Linked DNA regions of Drosophila melanogaster. The protein of the gene in region 1 interacts with the protein of each later gene in a pairwise test. Each region holds a gene or a part of one and is shown on either strand. Other genes may lie near its edges.

Region 1 (3,256 bases):
ATGCTGGTGCACTCCGAATCCTGGCTGAGTTGCAAAGTGCCATCGGGACTCTCGTCCGAATCTTCTTCTCCGCCGCTGCCATTTTCCTCCAAGGGAGCCAGTGAACTTTTGAGGACGCCCTCATCGATTTGGGACTTCTGCCGCAGTAGGGATCCAAACTTTTCGAAAAATCCATCATCTCCGTCTTGCAGTCTGCGGAAAAAGTGCAATTAGTAAATAATTCGAAAAAAGTCATTAAATATTATCTGCACTGGCTAGTCATCACTTAATGGGGATTTCATTTCGATTAGGGATACTCGTACTATGAGCAAGCTTATGTAGATGTATTTGAAAGCCCAGTGAAAAATACCCTAAAACTGAGTCATGTTTTAGTTGCGAGTGGGTGGTAAAATCGATCTGTGGCTTCCCCCACTCCCTTACATCACTTGCCATTCCTCACGCACACACGTTAATTTCACTTGATAATCTTTAATTTATCTGATGACACAGTTCCAGTTCTCCAAAATGTTCATATTTGTCTAGAGAAATAGAAACACACATTTCGGCTCGTCTGGCGAACAAATGTTTGTCTATCGGTGAGTTTTCAAGTTTTCTACAGGTATGCGTGAGTCTGTATTTTATTCATCCAACTTACTGGTGTTCATGCTCCGTGGGTGGATTCATTTTGAGCTCCTGCAACTTGAAGAAGAAGCCCTTCCACATCTGCTCCTCGTCCATTGTGATGTTGCGTTTTTAGCTTCAGAGGCACTGAATCGAAATCGGAATCCAACAAGTGTCACCGGAGTGTAGAAACATACTAACGGCTTATTTGCACCGAAACCGAAACGAACAAACGATGTGATTCATTGCCAAAGCTGCTCTCCGACGTAGATTTTTCTCAGTGGTATTCACACGCTCTTCCCTACACTATCGCAAACACATTATAATGAGCTATGGATGTTTGTAGTATCTAACATTGGGCGAAAGTGGGGAAATGGGAAGGAACGGGATGATACATACAGACAGACACCTGTTGCCATGGTGATCGGACGTTTTTTCTAGCTCTCATGCTAATGATTTTAAAAACTTATAGTTTGTAACTCTTGAAATTGTTGAATGAAAATCCATTAAGAAGTTACCAATCATCAATGGTTCTAATGGTGGTAAGCCTCACGCACACCTGTTTATGTACATATACTCTTGAAGGGCTAGGTGTTGGTATTCTTGTAACTACCTTTGCAGACTGGTGCTTCCATGGTCAAACTACGCACTTTAAGGCACATTTTCAGATGCCAAGCTAAATTATGTGCGCAACTATTTAACTACTTTAAAAACATACCTTATTTTTTCAAATATCCTTAATTCCGAGCGCCGGAAGTAACTTTTTAACATGATTAAGTCCTTTGCAAGGTCAGAATGCCAGATTGAATTAGGCTAAGAGGATTTGCAAATCCATTAGGAATTTCCTTAATTTCAATTCGAATTAACGTCTCCGTTTGTTTTTTTCGCACCCTTTAAAACTTTATTTATATCTTTTAAAATAAACAAAGATTAGATTAGATCAGTTTTGTTTATTAATTTGGTATGTAAGATATACCAACATAAATGAATCTACCGAATACCGTATTTCGATAACTTACGAATGGCAGCCCTGCAGTCCGATAATCATAACAAACCCACGGCAATAACAACAAACAAATCGTATCTCTTGTTTTTGCTGAAATTATAAATTAAAAAGCAATGAATTTAAAGTATAAGCGGCGCTACGAGAGCTTAAAACGCTCCGTCAAGAGTTATCTACTGGTAAGATCTTAGAAACTAGGGCGAAGTTATGCAAACTTAAGAGTATTTACAAGAAACCTTAAGATTCCTACTCACATATATGTTTACATTATAGCATAAAACATTTACGGGAAGTTATATGATCTATTAACTTTATAATACCAATTTCAGGAGAACGCCGCCCTCACGGATGAGATCTGTCGTCTGCAGGCCGAACTATCTGTGACCCGATCCCAAAGACTTTACTTGATAGAGCGCCTCATGTTTCACGAGGGCTTGGAGAAATCCAACAGTGGACGACCCAGTGTCTCGAATGGAAAAAACGACGCCGCTGAAACCACAAAGAAATACAGTCCTGTAGTTTCGCATAAGAACCCCGTCGAAGATAAGCCAAAAAATGTTACAATTGTACGGAAAAAGAAGCCCATGTTTCCGATGAACCTAAATAATGTATTACTCCACTCACTGGGCGAGATTATATCAGTGAATCCCAATTTTCACACTGAGAGCTGGATATATCCCGTGGGATATGTGGCCACACGAATCTACGCCCATCCCAAGGATCCGCGCAAGAAGTGTGTGTTCACATGTAAGATTTTAAATAACGCCGGGATTCCTCAGTTCCAAATAATACCCGACAATGATCTGGATGGAGTTTTCTTCGGAGAAAGCGCCAATATGTGTCACATGGAGCTTCTAAACTCCATTCAGCGGTCTCCCTGCGTTAAAATTAAAATACCGTTCGACGTACAGGGCGAGGTTTTCTTTGGCTTGTCAAACCAAAAAACACAATCGCTGCTTATGATGGATCCTGCCTTTCATCAGTGCACGAATTTCAAGGGATTCGCGGTGCAGAATGTGCAGTCCTTAAACAGCGCGTCTTTATCCTTTGAGACGCTCCAGGGATTTCTATCTTGATAAGATCTGTTTTTACTATTTGATTCTCGATATAAGAATAATAAGTTTATAATATAAAGACGAATTTTATTTCTCTGATACAATCGTTGCGAGAAGTACTTAGTTATGTACCTAAGTATGTACCTGGTACATGATACGAAAACACTAAAAACCCGAAACAGCTGATCTGTTTCAATTCCATCTCGTCCGTTTCAAAATATACTTTCCAGCTGTATAATACGTTATAATACAGTTTAAAATATTAAATTATTACGAGTGTTTGGGACAGATTGGTTAACAATTTCCAGTTAAATAGATAACATATTATTCTAAAAACTCTTTGTCCCACTTCCGCATGATTCAATGTGCTAAAATCATATGTTTTATGTGGGCATTCGCGGTTATTTCAAATGAAACTGTGCATTTGTACAATTGTTGTCAACTATCGACTTTTCTATAGAAATGCCGAAAAAAACAAGCTGGCAACCTGCCGAGGCAATCGGAAATACAACCCTCGAATCGAAACATATGTACACAACACCTATCTGAAAAGTATTAAACAATATTTTGGGAAAGTTGTTTTGGCTAGCGTTAAATT
Region 2 (3,862 bases), 2.9 Mb from region 1:
ATCACAAATCATACCCTGGAGCACCTGGTGCAGTGCTCTCCGAATCTGGTGTATATCGATGTTAGTGGCACCAGCATTACGCTTCCGGCAATTCGGCGCTTCAAGATCTCCAAACCGAAATGCGAAGTGGTCGCCAATCACTTGGAGGAGTTTGAAAGACTTCCGGAGCTGGAGACACAGGAAGAGGATGACACGGTGGTGGTGATGCTGCAGCCACCGCCGCGCGCCGACGACGAGCAGCCACCGAAATCGCCACCGCCACAGGAGGTGGTGGCTCCTTAGAATATTGTTTGTAAAGATTCCGTCGAAGTGGGCCGTGCTGGATTATTTTATTTTTTTTTAAGAAAAAAGACGACATGGCCAAGCCGATGGATCCACAACGCTGGCTACAAGCGAGTGCTGTAGCTCAGCCATCTAGTATTACGTTTGACTATTCGAGTCCTTGTAATATATACACGCCAGGCTAAACGCACTGTATAAATCAAAACCACAATTCAATTCCTTTAGCTAGGCATTAAAAAGAGCGCGCGAGATCCTTTTGGTAAATATGTATAATGAAATGTTTATTTGGTTGGTATGTAGTGGGTAAGGACAGGCCAATAGTTCGGTGACTCGAGTTAAAAATGTATGTAAACTGTATATAAGCGGTGTAAAATGTTTACTTGTCGACGCCATCCTCCTCTTCGGCATCCGACTCGTCCTCGGTATCTTCCGACTCGGTCTCCGATCCGCTGGAGCTCTGACAATCGGCAATCTCGCCGGTGAAGAAGATCACCGCCTTGGGAATCACGCGCTCCTTTAGATAGAAGCCCACCTCAAAATCGTTTTGCAGCATAGCCTGTGGGAGGAGATGCATGTGAAAGGATCGCAGATCGCTGATATTCAATCTTACATTGACGTCACAGTAGTTGGGGTCAAGGGTATCTTCTGGCAAAAGCGGCGGCGAGAAGAACTCAAAGAACGACGGCTCTTGATTTTCTGGTCAATGAGTGAATTCAACTAACATCTGTGAAATTTGATGCTCCCAGATGGCTTACCGGTTTTGGTCTGGTCCTTGGTCTGCTTCCAGTCGATGACGCAGCCTTCGCACTTGTAGATCTCGGCGCCATCATATGCGAGCGGATCGTCTGGATCCGGCAGGCAGTTGAGGAAATATGTCTTGGTCAGCACCGTGTTGGTAAAGTAATCATTGGGATCGAAGTGGAATTCGATATCAAACTTCACCACGGGTTCGTTGTACAGCCGAGAACGGATGTCGCTTAAGCACTGCGCGGGAAAAATTTCAATTAAAATTTAAATATCCTTCAAATCGGATCTATCCATAACATACCTCTAATATTTTCTCATCCCTCTTGCTGATGAACTCGGTGTACGATGCTTTGAGAACCCTCAGCCAAAAGTTGGGCACGCTCTGATTGGTTTCCACGTCGCCGTGGTTTTGCTTTCTAAACTCACTGCACCGATGGGATTTTTGGGGGAATTGAGATCTTGTTTAACCAAACACCATTAATGGACTTACTCTAGAATCTTCTTGCGCTTATCAAATATGATATTGTGCTTATCCTCGTACTTCTTCTCGATATTGTAAATGTCGCGCTGCAGAGCCACATCCAGGTTAATGGTCTCCAAATAGAGCTGCTTCAGTTCGGTAAGAGTTTTCTTCTCCTTCTCGGTGAAGTTTAAATCCGATTCCATCTTCGGTGGAGCGGTGTACTTCATCCGCGGAGGGTTTCGATTTCGCACAGTTTCCATTTATGTTTCGACACGATAATCAAAAGAAAAATAAAAAAAATATTTCTTGAAGTGATTTGGTTTTGTTCAAGTATAAAATTTGGACGTGTGCGTTTTCGCTGTGACTGCCGTTGTGGGAATGAAAAGTAGCTCTATCAGTTTCCCAAAACTCCCAGCACAAAAGGCAAGGCCCGCTTTTCACTAAAGTGCTGGAACTAACTAGATGTACTAGAAAATATTAAGCAATTTATTATTCTTTTTTTTTAAGCTACATTTTTAAACCCTCGTGTTATTGCTGTTTTAGTCACCCCTTTCGCCTTACTTTGCCCATTGAGATGCAGGCCATGTTTATTGGCAATTTAACGCACATTTAATTCCTGCTCTTTTCCTGTTTATATATTTTTGGTTTCCCCAAAATTTTTTGTTTGCTTCCGCCAACTTTTCATTTGGCATGTAATTAAGTGTGGGCCAAAAGCTTGGACTGGGTGCCGCCAGCCTGGCCTAAGTGTATGCAAATCACGTGCTGAGTGCTGTGCCGCCAAGGGTTCAGGTTCAGCCATTGCCATCGCCATCGCCATCGCCATCGCCTCCTGGAGTCTGTTAAATGGACCGTGGACCCAGTTTCTGGTCTATCCGAGAGTCGCTTGTCTTTTGTCGCTGGTTTTAATAATGTGGGCCAGGCTTAGTGCCATATGTCCGGCTGTGAAAAACAACAGAAAAAAGTGAAAAAAAAGAGTGAAATTGTCGCTTAGGCAAACATTTCAAAATGAAATTATGAGTGGGCCAGTGGCGGCGGGCGAAAAAAAAGTGTAAACAAATTCAGCCAAGCGGAAGTCCAGACACACACACACACACACAACAACGCACACACACATCCGCCAAATGAAAGCCGCAGAGGATAAGCGGGAAAAGCGGGAGATCGCATTGTTGTGCGCTGTTGAATGTTTGCCCACAAATACAAACACACACGACACACGGCACATGCACTTGTCCAGTCTCCACAGGACATCCACCACTCGCTGCTCTCATATTTGATATTATTAAATTTTTTCCCTAAATACCGCTGGGAAATTAAAAAGAAATCATAACGCAAATAGTGTAAGGCAGCCAGGCATCTGATGATGACGGCTCTGGCTGGCCAATTTCCACATTTGTACGAGTGTATGCCTGCACTGTGCAAAATAATTGGTATGTATATATATTTCACGTCATTATCATTAGCAGGAATGGAATATGCAAGATAGTTAGGTATTAATCCAAATGAGATGGAAATCGATAGTTGGGAACTAATCAAGATCAACTAATCAAGGACTCTTCAAGTGCACAACCATTTAAGCTATTCGGGCATTTTCAATTTACATTTCGGTCATTCAATTAGGCGGTGCATAAAATGTAGCTACATAAGTAATGGAGCAGCCCCATCATCATCAGCATCATCAGGATCATTTGGAGGAACATGGGGACCATGGCCATCACCCACGTGATTGCCGCTCGTCGGAGGTCGTCAGTGCCGGGAGCGTCAACATAGTTTGAATTTAATTAAAACCAAAATTAGTAGAGCCCAGCAGAATGGAATGGTTTGGCGCAGCCCGACCAACCGGAGCAACAGTTACTTGGCGCAGGGATTAAAGCTCCTGCTTCAGCTCCTTCCTGGCAAAAGTGCATGTCTGCAGAAAATCGAATCAGGAGCTCAACATCCTCATCCACGAGCCAGGCAACCTGGCAGCCTGGAACTCCTACGTTTCCACCTGCTCCTGAAACTGAAGCAACGGCGCCATGCCGAAATATCTGCAACAAAAGCATAAGATGTAGTGCGGCATTTGATGATGAAACGACGTGTTAATTAAGGTCATAATAATTCAACTTAAATTGAAAACTTGCCCGGCCCCAGAAACGCAACCATGGCAGGGCATGGCACTCACTAACCATTTTTGGTTGGTCGGGCATCGGGCATCGGGCGAAGGGCATCGCATCCTCGGAATCCTGGCCAGGCTAAGCTGATTGCAACAAATTATTTTGCACCTTGGTTGAACTTTCCTTGAGCTGCAGGCAGCATGGCGTTCATAAACGAATTTTGTTAGTTTGCTTTGCTTATTTTAAATGGAACTAGGTGGTGGCCAGAACTCCCAGG
Region 3 (4,886 bases), 6.1 Mb from region 1:
CAATGCGCTAGTTACGCCCGCTGGGCACCGCCCAAAAACAAAAAAAAAAAAAACAAACAAAACCGAAACAGAATGGAATATTTTCGTGAGACTCTAGATGGCGTGTGCAGCAATAGCAATTGAGATGCCAGCAAAGTTTGGTAACCCTTTCTTCGTTTCGGCCTCTTAATTAAATGCCAGCCCGATAGTCATCTTCTGGCAACTGAACTTGATTAAAGTCCAGGGGCTGTACGTATTTTTCTCCTGCAACGTACGCGGTCCATTTCCCCAGCACAATGTTGGCAGGACCTCTCGATGAGTTGGCTTCTTTTAACTCGCGGTTATCCACAGCTCCCTTACCAGTGCCCACCCAACTGAAACTGAATCAAAAGGATGACTAGTTACGACCACAAGTGTCCAGAACAGAAGGTCTTCGAGTCTTCGGTAATCTTTCAAGTACCTTTTTTAACTTTTTTAACTTGAGCTAAAGTTGTTTTAAAATATAAAATAAATTAACGTTTCTGTAAGCTGAAAACATTTATCACCTCTCTATATTTTGATTTTTAAGTTTGTACCTTAGGGTATTCGAAACTTCGTTGTCAGTATTTAGACTTCCCTCTGGTTTCATGGTAACCATAAAAGGGTGAAAGGGCAAGGGGTATCCCGGCGTAGTTTTTGTGATTGTTTAGAGCCATAGCCCCCGGCAGAGTGACAATGACTTTGACAGTCTGCAGGCAGCGCATTCACTATGATACCTGGTTTCCTGACTGCCAGCTCCTGCTCCTCCTTCAATGTCACCGCCAGCGATGTCCTGTCAGTGAGCGGGTGCTCTTTCGACCAGTGTGCGATCCGCGAATAAACGGCGCCAAAAGCTAGCACAATTAAAACTTGGACAATGCATTTAATTATGTTTGCGGAGAGTAATTAATTTATGCGGCGCTTAAGCGCACATGAATATCCGATTGATGCACTCTGCAACGGCCGGTGTTGCGGCTTTCCGAGTGGGTTTGCCTTGGTGTTTTGTCGCTAACAGGTGCTTGCTTAGCCACGCCCCAGTGCGCCCCATTGGTCGACCTTGTCACCCCTTCACCCACCCGACCACGGACCGCCCACCCATTCAATTTCAATTACCGTACCATACGAGCACTTCTGTTTACCGTTTGCACTGCAAGTGTCTCTAATTTATTTGCTGCGTCTGGAGCGCCGAAATGTTCATCTGCTTGACTGGAGCTGCCCGAAAATCCATTGTCGTAGGTAAATTATGCGTGAGCCATTGACTGAGGCGAAAAGTTACAGAAATCAGCAGGAAGGTAAATAAGAATGGCAATAAATAACGCCGAAAACGGAAGTTGGTGCGAGGTGACGCTGGAAAATTGTATGCAAAGTAAACACTTGCCGGTAAAAATTCAGCGGGTGATTTGATCCGCATCCAACAAATCAAAACTACAAGGCCCACAAAATGCTTTCTAGACTTTCAAAAATGTATCTGCTTATATACATATATATAGTTTTTAATATTTATGATTTATTATTAATTATGATCACTATATTTATTATAATTATTAGAATGGATAAATGAATAATTTCTAATTAGCTTATTCAAATTAAACAACAAATTACCACCTATACTGAAAACCTTTGTTTATATACTTTTATTTTAAGTCAGCCAGGCGCCATCTATTGGCAGGTAGCAGCAGATGCTAGAGCGAGATAGAGCTCGAGAGCGAGCTTCTGGTTTCGAAAAGCTTTCCCGACGACCAGCAACAACAAACAGCTGAGTGGGTGGCAGCCGACAAAGGAAAAGCGGACAAGTGTCCTGCGAGCCGCCTTTAATACGGCGCTCCTTCGGCAGGAAGCGCTCAGTCGTCGACGGCTGATTCAGGCGAATTGTTCACTCCGGCGGACAGAGTGCGGCGCAAAATCGTAGCGGACTGGGAAAACTCCTTGGGAAAAGTCGCGCGCGCGTTTCGCGTTTCTTATCATACGAGTCGGCCAGTGAAAGTGGAAAGTTATTGCGCGAGTGAAAGCAGGCCCCGGAGAAAGAAGCTAAAAAAAAAGCAGCAAACACACAGATAAATCACAAGTTGCAAATAAACAAAAGCCGAGGGAATCGTCGTCCAATAAAAGGAATCGCGCGGCTCAAACAAATGTAAATTATCCACCCACACACACACACACATGCTTTGTTTTTTTGTGAATCATACATAAGCGAATGCGTCGCACACACAATGCCATTCCACTTGGCCCCGGATATTAAAGCATACTTCTCTGCGCTCTAATTTATTTTTGTTCCCGGACGGATATTTTGGTTCACGCTATCATTGTCCTTAATTTATGAGGTTCTGCGATTCTGTCTGCAAAAGTTGCCAAATAGAAATATTTGCCTCAATATGTCAAAGTTTATTAGACATTTAGCTTTGCGTGCCCACGGCAATTTGCTGACAGTTGTTTTAGTTGGTCGGACGATAGTGAATGACCATTATATTTGATAAATGCCCGGGCGGACACCGAGTTGAATGTACAATTGCTTTTGCCGCATTTTCCGCTCAGTTCCCTTTATCCAAAAGATGCACTGTACAAAAAAAAAGCAAGGTTTAAATTCATGAGCCTATGTGATAATAAGTTGTTAGGAAAACTAATAGTTTGTTGCTTTAATTGCTTTAACCAAACAAATAAATGGATAAATAATTGTTAACAACTATAGGATATTTTCAAATTTCTCCCAACGTTTATTTGCAGGTAGATCAGGCAGCAAAATATTTTTTTGGTCGGCCAGCTGATGACTTTATGATATTATTTTTCACTGTACAAACTCAACTTTTGCGGAGAGCACGGCATCCACATCCTGTGGCCGTCCCGTGGCCATGTTGTGTGCACTGTGCCTCATTTTGCGCCGGCCTAATGGCAGGCTCATCATTAACTCAGTTATTGTCAGTTTGGCGCTAAATTGACAGGCGGAACGACGGGCCTTTGGGCAAAAAGGAAAGGGGACTTTTTCAACTGGGCCGAGTAAATATCGTTTTGTTTTTACTTTCGCAGCGGCGTCATTTTGTCGCAATTATCAAATGGCGTGCCCGTCATCGCCAAATAGCAGCGACAAATGGCCCCATCGAAGAAACTTTGGCCCCTTACCCAATAAGCCTGGCCAAACAATTTGCAAAGCCCTGGGAATCGAGACTTATTTACACTCTTGTCTCTCTCTCGACTGGCACGAAAATAGCACAAGGACCTTCTGTTGACAGTGCCTTACCGTTATCAAAATGCCAAATGCTGCACGTAATTAAAATTCGCTCAATTGGAAGGATGTCAGAGGCCCCGAGGTCATTCGCAAATAGGTACTGCCGGTGGAATGCTCTCCTGATTAATATTCCCTATTTGGCAATCACAGTGAGCAAACATGGGGTGGAAAAAGTCTAGCAGTTACATACCAATGGCCAAACGAACAACAGGCATGTACACATTGTACTCGTGTATACTTTCATATATCTTATGACCGGGCTCCTAATGGGCTACAGAAATGTCTGCCAAGATGGGCGAAAATCGATATTTTCTCCGCTCCGCTGGCTGGTTTGTTTAAAGTATTTAAAGCATTGCCGGCTGGCAGGTAGAAATCCCTTACGGCTCGCCGAACTCACTGTGCTTTTCTCCGTGTAACTTATCATTGCTTTGCAGGCCAAGTTTTCCTCTTTTCAATTGGAGGTAACTTTTCCGGCCAGGGCTGCCATTTTGTGCTCCACTCGCTTATGCCAATCCTGCCCCAAGGCGACCCATTACCTGGGCAACTCCCAAGCCCAAACCCAAAAACTCCGCGAGAACTCAACGTTCGCAGTGCCTTAATTGCCCTGCACTCGTCGTGGCGCATAAATTTCTTGGCCAAAAGTGTGTGCGTTACCTGTTTTGGCCCGACTTTTGTATAATTAACCAGACGTATGCACCCTTTGTAGCTTTGTTTTAAAAACGCCATTCTGCCATTTTGGCGCTACTCTGCGATTTTTAAAAAATACTCAAGGAATCTCCATTCTTCGGCTATTCAAGATTAAAATATTATTCTATGTGAAGAATTGGGAAAGTAATAATTTATAATTTTTCCTTGAATTCTGGGCTAGAATTTATTTCACAAAAATTTTCTTTGTCATTAGTAAGGAAACTTTCAGGGCATCCATGGATTCGGCCAAGCGGACTCCAAGCCCCCATTTACCTCGACTAAATTGTGACCCAGTTGATGGCTGAGCTGCGGGTTGTTGGTGTGCCTTTCTATTGGTGCATCGGTGTGTTGTGCCTTCCGCACGTGTTGCATGTGGCATGCAACAAACAGCACATATGTACATACACCGCTGTATAGCCCGCAAAAATGCAGATGTAACAGCGTGGCAGCTGAAATGGCCCTAAAAATTGTAGCTGCCAAGTTTGGGAAATGCTCCGGGCTACTTGGGCCCGACTTTTCGTTTGCGCTCATTTAAATATTTGATTAAAATAGGCGCTTGAAGTTAGCCTTCGTATTTTGGCCTGAAAGATTAAAAAGTGGAAATAATCATGGAATGGCAGCAAGCAAGCCCGATTCGGTATCGCATAAAATATTCATAAATGGTAGCGGTATAATAATAATAACACTCCAACGCCTTCATTGATAAAGCATATTCATATATTTTCACTTTCACATGCTCCGCTCGTTATTGAGCAAACCGCAGCGTTTACATTGTAAATTTCATTACACTTTTTCTGTTTATCATAGCAGTCATATCGGTTGGGCAAACAAATATAATTTATTACATTTTCATTGTCGCGCTCCCAGGGGAGCAGTGTAAGTCGTACGGCGGACGGACGAATCGCGAAAATGAAATAAATTGCAATATCAATATTGAATTCTGGTGTCCAATTTCAGTTGTGATATGCGTTTGAACATATTC
Region 4 (5,749 bases), on another chromosome or scaffold:
GAATTTAGTTTTAAGCAGTCCTAAACAATTCTGAACGAAAATTAATTGGTTACTTAGTGATAAATGCAGAATAAATGTTTTAAATCAACAATACGAAATTCGAGCTTAAATTATTTCTAAAAAAACATCGTAACTGCGGATTAAAATTGGTTCTTAAAAACAATATTTTTTTAATAAATGAAGACGTTGTAAAAATTATAAATGAAGTGAAGAAAATGACCATGATGAGTTCGCAAACAAATGCTTAAACGTGTGGAAGTGGTTTGCCATCTTACTTATGTAACATAATATAAGTTTAATTAATCTACCGAGTACTAGTAAGAAACCTATTATTAATAACTAACACACTAAATTCAAAAAACGTAAAATCTGAAACTGATAATAAATTACAAACTCAAGAAACCAAATGAAGTTGTTTAAATTTTCTTATATACTTTAAGAAATCTCTTCTCAAAAGTGAAAGAACATCGATTTTTACCACTACAAATTTTTGAATCCCCAAAAGATTAAAATTATCAATTTAAATCCTTTTCTATATAGATTACTTATTTATTCATTGCATAACCAATAAGCAGTTACATATCTACAGCATAATAATTATTGCACAGGAAGTGTACGGGTAGCAGCCTCTGAGATTCCATCGGTTTCTCGAAGGGCCTAGTCCTCCGGCTGAGCCACCTGGGGCTGTTGCTTCTCCGCCTTCAGGCGCTGCTTCTCCTTGAGCAGGGCATAGCACTCGGGCACCTTGTTGTAGAAGTCGCACAGTTTCGTCTGCGAGTTGAAGGCCAGATACTTGCCGCAGTTGTACAGGCGCGGATGTCCGTTGACGCACACGAAGTACTTCTTGCAGGTCTGGGGATGGCGATAGTAGCGCAGCTCACCCTCCGGGCTGACATCCACGGCGGCGGCAGCGCTATCATCGGCGGAATCGGCGGCGGGGCAATTGAAGCCCAGGTACGCCTCGGCGTTGCAACTTTCCACTAGATCGGGCCAGTCGCACTGGTAGGTCTCCTCGTTGAACGCCAGGCCCTCGGGGCACTTGGTTAGGCTGGCCACGCCGTGGGCGCAGTTGCGATAGACGCCGCACTTGGTCGCATCTCCGTTCGGATAGAAGCCGAACTGGCGGGGACACTCCTCCGTTCCGTTGGCGGGCTGCAGGCGAGCCCTCTCCTTGCAGGTGGAGTACGGGGCGTATGTGCACTCTCCGGTCGCCTTGGTGCGCTGGTGGAAGAGCAGGCCGTCCGGACACAGCTTCTCCACGGGAGTACCATCCTGACACTCTGTGTAAGAGTCGCACTGGTCACCCGATGCAAATCGTCCATTGGGCGTGGGGCATTCCGGCGAGCCAAGAGCTGTAATTACAAAGAAATCACGCATTTATTAGCAAGATGTCATATAAATGAAGAGCTAGATTATTTATTGAATAAAGCTAAAGTGGTTTTTGTTTTTCCTTTTTTTTTTTTATTTCGACGCGCAAAATGTCAACAATCAGTTTGCCAAATTCTTTAACTACAGACTAGAAAACTCGAGCAACCTATCGCCATATGGCATGTGCATGGGAAAAATCACAACTGGATTGACTTAGTTCTTCCTGGCGTGAAGACGAGCAGCCTTGATTTGGGCACCCTTTTCACGGATGGCACTGCTGCAGTTGGGCACGTTCTCGATGTCGTCGCACTGGTTCAGCTCCTGGTTGAAAGCCTGGTCCTCGCCGCAGCCAATGCGACGCGGACGTCCCTCGATACAGATGAAGTACACCTGGCAATTGTCCTGCGACGGGTGGAAGGTGTAGTCAGCCTCCTGCTCGCCGAGCAGCTCAGATCTGGGTGCCGGCGCTGGGCAGCGGAAGCCCAGGAAGGCCTCGGCGTCACAGTCCTCCACCTGATCGGGCCAATCGCACTTGTAGGTGGCCGGATTCCAGGCCAGACCCTCGGGGCAGTCGAACACGAAGCCACGGCCCGCGGCGCAGTTCATGAACTGTCCACAATGGCTGGCATCACCCATGCGATAGTATCCGAACTGGTGGGGGCACTCATCCGTTGGCTGAGCGGCCTGCAGGCGGGCCTGGCCCTGGGTGCACTCCACGTCGATCGGATAGCCGCAGGGGTAACCCGTGGACTTTTCGTTGTACAGCAGACCGTCGGGGCAGAGCTTCTCCTCGGCCACTCCGTTCTTGCACTCAATGTAGGCATCGCAGGATCCGGACACGGGAGCAGTTCCATTCGCCTCCTTGCATGCACCGGCGGCGGCGGCAGCTGGAAGAAATAGCGTACGTCGGTTAATATCGATCCATGGGATTGCGTTTGCTAGCTTACCTCTAATGAGTTATGATGGGAAACTGGCTCTTTTTTATTTTTTGTTTTAACTATTTGATACGTACTTTATGATCAACGACAAGTCGTGGGATTGCCGTAGGGCAACATTCCACTTGACAATGGATTTTCTCGTCTTCCCGCGATATTACATACACATACCCGGGTATTGAAACTTTAATGACTTTGTGGGCACATACCCCGGTTGTTGAACCCGCGAATATAATTCAAAGATGTTTATTTAATGCGATGTAACAGAAAAGAGTTTAAGTGGTAGACAAGTGCCAGGGACTTTGATGAAGTGATGGTAGTTGTTTTAAGTTGTTTCAAATGTTAGTATATAGTGGGATTGGGATTTTAGGGAATTTTTTGGGATTTTTAGGGATGCATACAAACCATCGCTTATAATGCCATCTAATTTTAAAAGCTGTGCTAAAAATCTTTTCATATTAAATCGTTAAGGCCCTATACTCGAGTGGCTGTACTATTAAAAACCTGTTACCCTATTAACCAGTTTAAAATTCAATGGACACATTTAGCTGCTGTCACTGACGTCATTAGTCGCTTTTTTTTAATTTTACGCCGATCAATTTAAAATCACACAAATTTATTTAAAAATGCTGGTTATCTTGTGAATGTTCACAACGTTAACGATTTGTGTGGTTTTCATTATTTTTTTTTGCTATCCTATTTGATAATTTTAAAGCTTCAACCAAAGTAACCGGCTTTTCCCTATTTGAACCCAAAAAAATTGAATCCATAAACATGCAATTACTTTTCCCATATGTGTTCAAATAGATTTCGGACAAAACGTGACGTTCATCTCGAAATCTGATTCGCGACCGTTGGTTTTTTCGAAACCTGACACACTGAAGATTATGTCGTACTGAATCGAAAGAGGTGCAAACGCGCTTAAAGGTCACAACAACCGGCTGGGCACGCACCGAGATGGATCTGTCGCCTCCAGCTCCCCCAACATGTCTGACCGCTATCCGCGAGATAAACCCGTTCCACACAATGGACCGACCATTGGTGCCAGGCAAAGATTATGCAATAGCCATGTTTCTCTGCCCGCTTCGGCGTGTGAATCAAATTTCTGAAAAGGCTGCCTGCTGACCTTGAAATATCAATGAAATTTCGGTGGGATTTTACATATTAGCCATCACGTTGGCAATAATTACTAGCTTTCTTTGCATTTCTCTATAAAACATTTACTTTAGTTACTTTGCATGAAAATTCGCGTAATTTCCTGCTATTGTGAATCGAATGAGTAGCAGTTTTACGCGTTGTAAAAGTGAATAATTGCACATATGTATGTAGTTTCATCCAAACGTGGGACATACGATAATGTGGGTCTTGGCACTTTTTTCTATGAAATACGAATTTGTTTATATAGGAAGCAATAAGAATTAACTTTAATTCGTTTCCGCACCATTGAATCTTTAATTCTTCAAGATGAAATGAGTTAAATGTGTTAATGTTTCCTGAAATTTTGTGCTGACGTACATATATGCAAATGTTTGTGTCACCTTCTCGAACTTTTCGCCACTATAGAGTATAGCACCAGAAAAGTTTGTGACCAAAGTCATTTGTTTTGCGAAATAATAGTATTAAAAACTATAGTATACTAACCCATTGAGCCAAACATGGCAACGCACAATAGAGCACTGATTAAGATTTTAGCCATTTTGTTTAAATCCTCTTGTTGTTTTCGAATGGCAATGTGATCACTAAAAGTTAAACTAAGGAAGAGCTACTGCGATGCTCAGCCAACGAGCTGACAATTTCGACTGTTTCGCGCTAGAAACGCAACGCAGATATTAACTGGCAACCTCACACTCGAAGCTGAAGCTGCTCCGGCTGAAGCTCTTTTGGATGATGATCATCGGAGCGAGCCGAAACGTCGCCGGAGCTTGGGGATCTTCCCCTGCTGCCTGGTGGGGATTCGCAACAGCTTTTGCCGCCGCCGTCGTAATCTCAGCCTCACTCAATTGCCATGAAAACAAACTTGTCAATAAATAACGAATAAACGAAAAAGACATTCGATGGCACAATATTTCGACAGAAATGAAACATTAATGCAACTGCGATTATAACTTAAGTTGACTCTCCAACCACATTTTGTACATGGAGATATTGATTCTTTCATAATAAGATTTCTTGTGGGGATTTGTTTCTGCTCATAAAATTGTCAGATTCCCGAAGAAAAAATGAAGAATAAATACTTTCGACTCACTTTCGTTCGAGTTGAGTCAGTTCATCAAACCGGAAAGCTCTGCGTTAAGTTTCAGTTAGCAACTGTTTTAAATATTAATCAACGAAGTTTGTATCTAATTTATGTTCGATTTGATTTCCATATTTCGCACTTTTGTTTTCGGTGAACAGCCAGCCGAAAATGAATAAAAACCAGAAAATCCAACATAAAGTCAAGGCCGACTGCGCCCATGAGGCCGTACCAATCACGAAAATCTGACAATGATCTTGGTATTAGGCCTTAGCTTGGGCTGTGGGGATTTTTAAAGAACCAAAGCTTAAATTAAGTAATGAGACAGAAAAACGTGTTTAAGGCATCGAAACAAATGAAATTTGACAGAGATATCGTACGTATACCCAATCGACCATTTGTTTTAAATTTGTGGTTAAATTTATAGACTTTTATATTGATTTTTTTTTCTTCTTTATTTTATCGTTTTTTTTTTTTTTGTGTAGCTTTCCTTAGGTTTTAGCTAGTAGTCCATGCTCAGCAGAGTTGCAATTACCTATTAAAACATTTTTATTTGGACATATGAGGCGTTCTTGAAATATGTGTAAATCTAAATTTTACGATCAAGGACTTCTAGTCAAATTAGTTATAAATCCTAATAAAATTAGATGACAACTTAATTAAAAGTATTCTTCATTAAACAAAAGAAGTTAAATAATTGGCAGGCTGTGAATCATCAAGAAGACTCATTCAATAGGAATTGTGACATAGACTCAAGTTATAAAAAATAATCTATTTCGATATATAGTAAACATTATAGTTTAATACATTGCCCTTCGGTTTTATTTATATACATACAAAAATATGCTGTATGCATGAACACACAGCGTTGCCAATTTAATTGCAAACTAAATAGTATTCAGCTGCTTGATTAATGGACTTACAAATAATTTATGTTTATCGTTTTGTCTAAGGCACTTTTACACTTTTCTTTACATCATACAAATATATTCTTTAATTCAAATTGTTGTATTCTAATTATATTTTAATTCTGCTCTTAGCTACATTTTCAACATTTTTATTATGTTTAGTGATATTTTAGTCTTACGAATGGAAAATATGCAATTAAATCAATTTTTGAGCGAAGACTTGATTTGCAAACATGATATCAGCGGAATCAAGGCTTATGTAATTATACAAACACCAATTGTTGTATGTTGTTCCCAAGTCACAT

Evidence for each region.
Region 2: the proteins of CG31111 (region 1) and mil interact in a two-hybrid assay, tested with the Drosophila melanogaster proteins (one large-scale study listed by BioGRID).
Region 3: the proteins of CG31111 (region 1) and Gycbeta100B interact in a two-hybrid assay, tested with the Drosophila melanogaster proteins (one large-scale study listed by BioGRID).
Region 4: the proteins of CG31111 (region 1) and obst-E interact in a two-hybrid assay, tested with the Drosophila melanogaster proteins (one large-scale study listed by BioGRID).

The regions. Positions count from the first base shown.
Region 1 is NT_033777.3:25,054,561-25,057,816, reverse strand, and holds CG31111 (uncharacterized protein), read left to right. Parts: upstream 1-1,639; 5' UTR 1,640-1,719; coding exon 1,720-1,782; intron 1,783-1,932; coding exon 1,933-2,679; 3' UTR 2,680-2,741; downstream 2,742-3,256. Other genes in the region: stac (staccato), read right to left, coding at 1-192, 635-717.
Region 2 is NT_033777.3:27,910,458-27,914,319, reverse strand, and holds mil (milkah), read right to left. Parts: upstream 1,874-3,862; 5' UTR 1,753-1,873; coding exon 1,520-1,752; intron 1,455-1,519; coding exon 1,331-1,454; intron 1,267-1,330; coding exon 1,038-1,266; intron 979-1,037; coding exon 893-978; intron 839-892; coding exon 659-838; 3' UTR 535-658; downstream 1-534. Other genes in the region: CG5003 (uncharacterized protein), read left to right, coding at 1-282.
Region 3 is NT_033777.3:31,132,541-31,137,426, forward strand, and holds the start of Gycbeta100B (guanylyl cyclase beta-subunit at 100B), read left to right. Parts: upstream 1-1,851; 5' UTR 1,852-2,128; intron 2,129-4,861; 5' UTR 4,862-4,886.
Region 4 is NT_033779.5:5,762,017-5,767,765, forward strand, and holds obst-E (obstructor-E), read right to left. Parts: upstream 4,127-5,749; 5' UTR 4,000-4,126; coding exon 3,945-3,999; intron 2,256-3,944; coding exon of another isoform or gene 1,582-2,255; exon of another isoform or gene 1,444-1,581; intron 1,353-1,443; coding exon 658-1,352; 3' UTR 537-657; downstream 1-536. UniProt on the Drosophila melanogaster protein: Chitin-binding protein that is important for the longitudinal contraction and lateral expansion of the larval cuticle during its conversion into the oval-shaped puparium case. Essential for survival to the second instar larval stage.